Neodiprion lecontei: one gene and its partner. The protein of the gene in region 1 interacts with the protein of each later gene in a pairwise test. Links are inferred from orthologs where the notes say so. Each region holds a gene or a part of one and is shown on either strand. Other genes may lie near its edges.

Region 1 (3,931 bases):
TCATAAAGTTACTTACAAGACCATAAAATGCTAAGTATATTGGACTGCTAGTTGCACGCAACTTAAGCCTCGCTCTATTAAATCTTGCAGCGATGAATATGAGAAATATCAAATTTGGAATGAGTATTACAACGTCCCATATTCTCACTCTGAAAATAAAATGTTGCCTTAGAGCAATAGTAAGAAATGTAGTTTTGTTGGTCGACTCGGCTCTTGAAGGCTTATTGTCGTAAAACTATTTTGATTTCGTCATTTTAAAATACTGTACAAGTTACCTGGAATCTGCAATTTCCTTATATAAAATCAATTTACAAAAGTAATCTTCCTCTCCCATAGCCAAACTAATGTTTGGATCTATCGTAGTGCCGAGTAATCGTCGAAAGTGTACCTCAGACACGGTTTCCAATTCTACGTTACCATACATTGTTTTCTTACACAATGAAAGACTCTATACAAATTTTAGGCATAACAGTTTCCCATTGAATACGTAGGTGGAATTCTGAAAGACAAAAGAAATTGCTTACTAAATACATAATAAATTTAAAAATAAACTGTTCCAATCACAACTTAAGCAGCAGATGAATCTCATAGGTTTATATTGAGAATGATGTCAAGTATGCAAACAGTAACGAAGAATAGAACCGCAAATTTTAGATTAATTATTACACTCATGTAGGGTAAATTTGTTGTCAATAAACAATGTGACTCTAAAATTTGCTATCGCAAATCAATTCTTTGGATAAATTTATTCACAGAACAAAGAAGTTCTAAAATACTGCGTAGAAGTTTGCATTGATTTCGAGTATAAACATAACCTTCTTAAGATCCCATGATAAGTGTTGCGTTCGAAAGGTTGAGTATAATTGATAAACAGAAATCAGATTCCCAGTTAGAAAACGAATGAAAATACGCGTTAAGGGATTTTTTTACAAGTAAAGTAAACGTTGATCCGAAAATTGATAGAGATGCAAAATTTTTCGAGCTGTCAAACTCTTTGTCAAACGTTAAAGAAAATATGTAGTCGCATAATGTGTTTACCGTAATGAAATTATTTTCTAATCAACTTACGGATTATATGACTCCCGATAGTGTCATAACTCTGGAGAAATGAACTCTCTGTGATGAGGCTAAGCAAAAGTCCCGACTTATCGTGGTGTCGAGTGTTTTTTCAACCTTAGGCCAAATGTTCAATGCCCATTTTGTTCTCTGTAGCAGACTACACCATTCGATAATCTGGAAGCAGCGATGGATGCCGACTTTTCAGGTTCTGAGCGGTACAACGAGCTGTGAATTATTCGCCAAGCGAAGTAACCCCATACCGTGTACTTTGCAGCGAGTATAAAAAGCGCGATACTTGTTGGCCGAGAAGTCATTACATCTCGGAGAAAAAAATTATTCGCGAGATAGGATAGGTACTATAACAACATGGCTATCGGTTCGTTGATTCGTGGGTCGTGACGCACTTAACGCTGTCAGTGTCAGGTGACGCTGGATTACGTTGCTCAGCTCATAAACATGGCAGCTCGGTTTTCAAATTACTCAGAGAGATAACAGGCAATTATTTCACATTTTACCGCTGATCTCGCGTGTACCATTCGCAATAATTGAAATGGCTAGCGATTATTCGAACCATTTGTTGAAAAACGTGCATTTAGGTTTGTCACAACCGGCGAACGGTGAAAGTTTTTTTGTCACAAGCGAATACGAGTACTGGCATTACGGCTGCGATGGCGTAAACGACAGGGTAAACATATTTAATCAAGTTTTTGCACACGAGTTACTCGTGATACACTATTATTCAATAACATTCTCGAACGCGGTACAATCGTGAGTTTCTGATTCCCCTATGTTTACTCGAATACTTCTAGCCAAAGCTTCCAACATTGCAAACGTTAACAAATACCCGACACGCTATTGGGTAATTTCATCTGAAACGACCAATGGGATCGTGTGTACATATTTTAGAAACTTACACTACGGTTAATGGCACTGTTAAATATTATTTAATCACTGAAACTCATTATCTGCATTACTTCATTATACAATTATATCTTACATCAATTATTATTGATGTACAATTACGTTAAATAACCAGACTTTTACTTACATTGAATCATGGTCTCGCAATTCCCTGTGCGACTTAAAATCTTTACTGCGTATGTTCCGAATAAATTTTTAATATCGTGAATAAAATTTAGATGTTTGAATCTGTCGCGTAGTCATACGTGATCTCAAAAGTTGTTAAATATTATGTGAAATATGCACAAAAAGTACGTTTTTCATATCTGCCCGCGTAATACAATTGTAAACAAGGGAAAAAGTTATTGTTAGTCTTGAGCTACAGATTTATAGTCCATTTACGAAATATCTAAATATATGAGAAGTATTTTTCTCAACTGAACTCCACTGCACTAATATTTCTTCCTGGAGTTCCAAGACCTGACTGAAACAGTCTGGTTAGCAAAGATTGCTACGCTTGGCGAAGCATGAATCCTCATAAAAGTAGCGTAACATTGAATTAATGTAACTTAATAAAATTATTATTATTATTCAGGGATGGGGCTGCGGATACAGAACTCTGCAAACTATCATCTCGTGGATTGTAAAGAATTTGGAAACTGCTAGGCCTGTCCCTAGTTTGAGGGAAATCCAAGAGATTCTTATTAGTCTAGAAGACAAGGAGAGCTTTTTTCTTGGCTCACGAGACTGGATCGGCAGTTTTGAAGTGAGAACAAATTTTTTCTGATAAAGCTACCACTCTCTTGAAAATTCTAATACTGTACATTTCCGTGTATTTCCCCGCATGTTCTCATTTAGTCTCTTCTTCATTTTATTTCAAGGTCTGCCTCGTCATCGACCAGCGTTACGGAGTTCCCAGTAAAATTATACATGTACCTAGTGGTAAAGATTTAAAGAAGTATTCGGATGCTATAAAACAACACTTCATAGAATTTGGCAGTCCAATAATGATGGGTGGGGATAGAGATTGCTCTAGTAAGGGAATTATGGGTATACATTACAGTGCGAAGGAGATAAGTTTGCTCATAGTAGACCCGCACTTTGTGGGCAAAGCTAAAAACGCTGAGCAGTTAGCCAATGATGGCTGGGTGAAATGGCAGTCTTTGACAGATTTTGTAGACAGTTCGTTTTACAATCTTTGTTTACCTCAAATAAAACATAAATCTTTTAGCGAATAAATCAAGAAAAAAAAATACCCCTACTTTTTTTTCCTGAGATAAAAGATGACAATGAAAGTCAGTTGTTTGCAGTAATGTTGTGTAATCACTTGTTCAATGTTACATTATCCTTATATTGACTACGAAGTGAGGAAAATCAACAAATTCGAGTTGATTAGTTTGCAGTACTTGAAAACGAAAAAAAGCATAAAACTTTGTGCTCAGTTAATAACACAGATTCGAAAACTGTATAAAGAATATTATGACTTACTGATTCTAAGCAAGTATGTGCGGCATTTCTTCTTGCGGCTTAAATGGAACGGATACTTACATGTAAAAGATTCATGCGATACATTTCCCACATGCATTTAGGTAAAAATAAATTCTCTCCGTCTCCGAGATTTAATATTTGCATATGTACAGACGAACTCCTCTAAAGAAAACTTAATCACGAGATTGTCAATCTGAGTTCAGCAGTAGACATACACCCTGCAGTACCCAATGTGAAATATGCTCTGTAGTTGCCAGGTCTGCTTCAAAGACCAAACCAACACCCATAGCATTGCGTCTGTTCGACGTCGTGTATACTGGCGTTTTCAACGTGTTCTAAGTGAAACAAATATTCAATGATGATTTGATTTCTCATTTTTTTGTTCAAATGCGTATGGATAATGTGTTATCACTTTGCCCACATGGTCAAAAACGCATAGTTGTTACTCAATTACACATATTTAGAGGAATTTACCTGTAATTTC
Region 2 (5,068 bases), on another chromosome or scaffold:
ATTGTAGTCAGTTCGTACAATCATGAGCCGGATTAGGTACTGTCTTGTTTTTTCTTACCATCCTTTTTGAACGTGATTCCGTGTATGGTACCAGGTGTACCAGCTTCCAACTCTGCGTAAGCCTGAAGCAGCGCCTTCTGTTTCTGATTCAGATTCGACGGAACGGATATTTTTATTTCAATATAGTGATCGCCGTATCCCATACTGTTAACTTTCTTTAAACCTTTCCCGGTTAGGCGTATTCTTGTGTGCGAAGAAGTACCGGGGCGTATTTGTATCGTCTGATCCTCATATACACCTTCAACTCTTATTGTACCACCAAGAACTGCCTGAGCCAATGATATTTCGGCACTTGTATGGACGTCTGGACCCTCGCGACGGAAATACTTTGACTTCTCAACCCGGAATGTTATAAAGACTTCTTTGTTGCCCACCGCCATTCTCACTGTTTGACCATCTTCAACGCCAGCTGGAACGGGGACTGTCACTTTTTTACGTTGCACCTGAAAAAGTTTCATCAGCGAGGAGTGTCAGCATCATTCTCTATTCTCATTGTTCAAAGTTGCAGAGAAAAATTGAACTTACCGTTTGACCTTTCCCTTCGCATTCACCGCACGGATACTTGATATACATTCTGGATCCCTGGCAGAAGCGACAAGTCGATCTCATCACGAATGGACCAGTACTTATTGTCTCCATACCAGTTCCATTGCAGTGTTGACAGCGTACCGCCTTTGTACCTAGCTCGCAACGACTTCCGGAACATTTCGGACATGTGTCCACAACGTTTATGTTTACATCTTTGTTAACACCACGAGCGGCTTGGGAAAATGTCAAGTTCATGATGACCTAGGAAACGTATAAGCAAAGCATAGGTATAAGTTTTGTCAGTTAAATATTGAAAGGTTACACATGAGGAACGTGAGTAGAGTGAATACTATAGAATGCAAATTAAATTACTTCATTTGCAAAAAAAATACCAATTTGTAACAAGTGATTTTCTACCTCTTGCGATGCTCCAAAGCCGAAGTTACTCTCAGCAAAGTCCTCATACTCGGTGAATCCTCCGGTCTGAAACCCAGCCTCGCCAAATATTTTTCTGAATAATTCTTCGGGATTGACGGTCGATCTGAATTGCCAATTTTGGCCAAAGTCCTGAGCTCCTTGGCGCTGTCCACCACCACCCATGCCCATCTGTTCGGAAGTGGCACCCCAGGTATCGAACTCCTTTCTTTTACCCTCATCACTGAGCACTTCATAGGCTTCGGATACCTCCTGAAATTTTTTTCCAGCATTGGGATCCCCCTTGTTTGTATCGGGATGATACTTTTTGGCAAGCTCATAGTACGCCTTTTTGATATCCTTTTGAGAGGCGTTTTTCGGCACGCCTAGTATCTCGTAGTAATTACGCCTTGCCAAAAGCTTGTAGGTGGTGTGAAAACCGCGGCGCGGAAGCGGCGCCGATTTCGCTTGTATATCTGCAAAAGGAACGTTTGATTAAAAATGAGATAGTCACAAGTGCTGGAAATTATTTAAGGTTATGAACGACGGTCGTCTAAAAGAGGGTGAAACAGGTCGTGAGATCGGCAGACGAAGGTGAAACCCTTTTGCTCGGTTAAACAACTTTGCGGCAAGCAGTCAGGCGAATTTAGAACGAGACGATGTCGCGAACATGAAGAGGGCATGATGTAATCTAGAAATGTCTACGGTATGCGGTGCGTTACGTTTTTCGTATTTCCGATGACTCCACAACTCGACACCAAGCGCCGAGCCCGAGAAAAGACGCCGACAGGTGTTGCATTGTTGTAAGGTGACCGATGCTAGATTATTCAACTTATTACAACCGATTAAAGAGATACTTTTTGGCCGAAGAATTACCGCAAGACCCTTAGTCGTGGCCATCTTTGATATGAAGGGACATGCGGGCGACTGTCACGTGACCACTGAAATACAAGAATACTACCCTTGGACCGATCGAATGTTCCACAAATTCTTCATTCAACGTCTACAAATTGCAATACCCGATAGCCGTGATATTTCTTCTCCCGTTTAAGCAGAATTTATTGTGTATTCACTGTTATTACGTACTTTTGCACCAAAGACACGTGTTTTTGGCTGATTAAAATCAATAAAGTTGGCGATCTTCAGACTGATTTTCGTCGAGCTATATATCGATATCTCGATCTCTCGCAATCGGATGTAATAATTCAGCCAACTTCGGGTCACACACAATTGTGTCGCTTCTATTTCCTTTGAGGTTATTCCCATACATAGGAAATTAATTTCTTCAATTCTAGTTGGCGTAATAAAGGGCGTCCTTAACCATGGCGTGAGTATATTTTATGTTGTTGTCATAAAATCGCACGACTCTTATTGCTAAATTTCGTTTGATTCGACTTAGACAATTCTAATAATTGACAAAGCTGGTCACACGCGCTGACAAACATCTGTTTCAGGAAATGAAATGACAGATCATAATGAAAGATTGAATTGAATGTAATTTGAAATTACGAATGATTTCAGATCAAAAGTAACGTTCAAGATTACTCTCACGTCTGATCCAAAGCTACCTTTCAAAGTGTAAGTATAAAATGTAATTTGTAAACAAAGCAGAGACTGGAGAATTATATCTATATTCATTACAGACACCCTATTCAGACTGTTAATTTTGAGAAAAAAAATCTGTTTTTATTTCGTTTTGTTGAACAGATGATGCGGAGGCATTTACTCTCCAAAGAGCGACGGAATTTGGCCTATGAATACAGAAATAAAGTTTTTCCTACTAACGATGAGCTGCCAAAATAACGTGTCAGAGACTCAGTTTATACAGATATTGAAAGCGATCGATAGGTACTTGACCATAATAGAAAGCCGGAGTCTTGCGGCGCAGGCTAATATCGAAAGCGTGTCACAAATATTTAGCTATGCACTGTTCGTAGAGGCCACGATAGTCGAAGCAGAGAAAGAAAACAAGCTAGACATGTTTGAGAACCATTTGAGGGACTGGTGGAAGAGCGAAAATCGCAATTACTTTTACCCGTGTTCAATTCTAAAAAAAGCCTGTGACAAACTCCTTGAAGTTTACATGAAAAGCACTGTTGTTTCAACGGCTGTAGTCGATCAGTTGATAAATCTGTACATACAGTCATGCGGAAAGCCCAGACTCGCTCAATTTATTGAACAATTATTAATCCAGTCAGTTTCCAACAATGCTGTGATAGATTTGTTACAGGAATTGGGTATAGATATTTCGAATTTCGACGATGACGCTATGATTCAATCGTGGGAGGATGTAACAGGTCAGGGTAAACAGACAGAGGTCTCAGAATGCGTCGAGAGAATGTTGAAAGATGGTTTCATGCCTAAGCTCGTTAGGATTTTTTTGGAACTAACTGAGACAAACAGTGTCAAAAAGATACTCAGGAATTGTTTTGTGTCGAAATTAAACGCGTACGATGTAGAATTCACTCTGAGTTTTTTAGATCTCGAAGAGGAACTATTTTACAAAATCCTCATTGAAGACTTGGGTTTTCGAACCAGCTTCGTAGATACTATATTTTATTTTGGTAGAAATATGACGCACGATGGCGAATCTTGGGTGTCTAAAAATCTGTTTAAACACAACGACCTTGTGAGTTTTATGAAAATTTTTCTAAGTGGTCCTTCTACAATTCGTCGATACGTCAATAAGACGCTAAACTTTGCTAAAAATGATCCAATGCCCAACGTTTGGCAGGATATACAACCATGACGATTGATCGACCTTACAACAGTAAACTAGGTATCAGCTGGTTGAATACTGTATAGTTATATTACGTGTAAAATGCTGTGTGTTTAACATGTGTACAAATCATTTTTTCAAAGATACTATTAAACTTTTTTTACGTAATACCTTAACTTTCGAACATTCATTTCTCATCTCTTGACAATCATTCCCAATTGCATTAAATCATGTTGCGAGATAAACCCAAATTATTTAAAGCGCACCTTTGATTGACTGTAGAGAAAAACAAAAAAATCCTTGCTTTTTTACAGACTCAGCGTTCCAGACAACACACCGTTTACCGCAGTACTTAAATTTGCTGCTGAAGAATTCAAGGTAGCGCCGGCTACGTCAGCAATCATCACTGACGACGGTGTAGGAATCAATCCGCAACAGACAGCGGGTAAAACTTAGTTCTAAAAAATTTTTTACACTTTTTTTTTCACTCACACGCGTAGTGATGATTAATGATTTTTTTAGGCAACGTCTTTTTGAAACACGGCTCCGAACTGAGGCTCATACCACGAGACAGAGTGGGCAACCAGTGCAGTTGATTCCGATAATCTACACATTTTTCCGTTTTCTTTTTCTTTTTTTTTGAATTTTTGAAGAAAGAAAAAACTAAATGATAATATATTATTGATTTGTAAATATTGAAAGTTGAAATTGATTTTCAATAAAAATGATAATGACAATATCAATGCTTCCCTACATACTGCATTATTGATTTTTTTTATTCAATTTTATTACCCCACACTCTTTGCATCCAGATAGGTATGTAGATACAATATAGCAGGAGACGAAAATACCTTGGGGGGAAAAAGGATGTTGACTTACTTGACAAGGTGAAATAAACTCTCATGATTGCACATTTCAAAATTTCACCCTGAGACGCTCACTGGAAATCGCAACAAATCGATGGATTGAAGGGATCCCCGAACATGGGTGCTACTTTGTAACGTGGGACCTGAAGGCATTCGGTAGAAATGTTTTATAGATGAAATACATTTAAAGATACAAGGTCGATACAAAGGTACATCACTACACGACAAATTACAGTATACACGACGGATGCCATTCGCAGCACAGAATACCAAAGGAAAGTTTTAGTACAAAGTATCATTCGTTCCTTTTTTCTAACAGCAAATTTAGAAATAATGATATTCATTTTTTTATAGTGTTACATCAATAAAATTTGAAATTCTGTGTTGGGAATAACACTGCATTGCTGTATTGGAAATTTAATCGCTTGGATCTAAATTGTTCATAAATAGTAATGAAAGCAACAGAAAATATGAAAAAGAA

What was found.
Region 2: the proteins of ufm1-specific protease 1 (region 1) and ubiquitin-fold modifier 1 interact in binary tests that used the Drosophila melanogaster proteins (3 or more experiments, as listed by UniProt). The link is inferred for Neodiprion lecontei from reciprocal best matches to the Drosophila melanogaster genes Ufsp1 and Ufm1.

Annotation. Positions count from the first base shown.
Region 1 is NC_060260.1:30,653,809-30,657,739, forward strand, and holds ufm1-specific protease 1, read left to right. Parts: upstream 1-1,609; coding exon 1,610-1,744; intron 1,745-2,107; exon of another isoform or gene 2,108-2,241; intron 2,242-2,554; coding exon 2,555-2,725; intron 2,726-2,840; coding exon 2,841-3,197; 3' UTR 3,198-3,202; downstream 3,203-3,931. Other genes in the region: uncharacterized protein LOC107223302, read right to left, coding at 17-167, 276-424; dynein axonemal heavy chain 10-like, read right to left, coding at 3,636-3,782, 3,922-3,931. UniProt on the Drosophila melanogaster protein: Thiol protease which recognizes and hydrolyzes the peptide bond at the C-terminal Gly of UFM1, a ubiquitin-like modifier protein bound to a number of target proteins.
Region 2 is NC_060263.1:16,361,914-16,366,981, forward strand, and holds ubiquitin-fold modifier 1, read left to right. Parts: upstream 1-2,184; 5' UTR 2,185-2,324; coding exon 2,325-2,329; intron 2,330-2,523; coding exon 2,524-2,580; intron 2,581-4,035; coding exon 4,036-4,166; intron 4,167-4,243; coding exon 4,244-4,317; 3' UTR 4,318-4,474; downstream 4,475-5,068. Other genes in the region: protein tumorous imaginal discs, mitochondrial, read right to left, coding at 59-503, 586-849, 1,006-1,478, 1,725-1,902. UniProt on the Drosophila melanogaster protein: Ubiquitin-like modifier which can be covalently attached via an isopeptide bond to substrate proteins as a monomer or a lysine-linked polymer.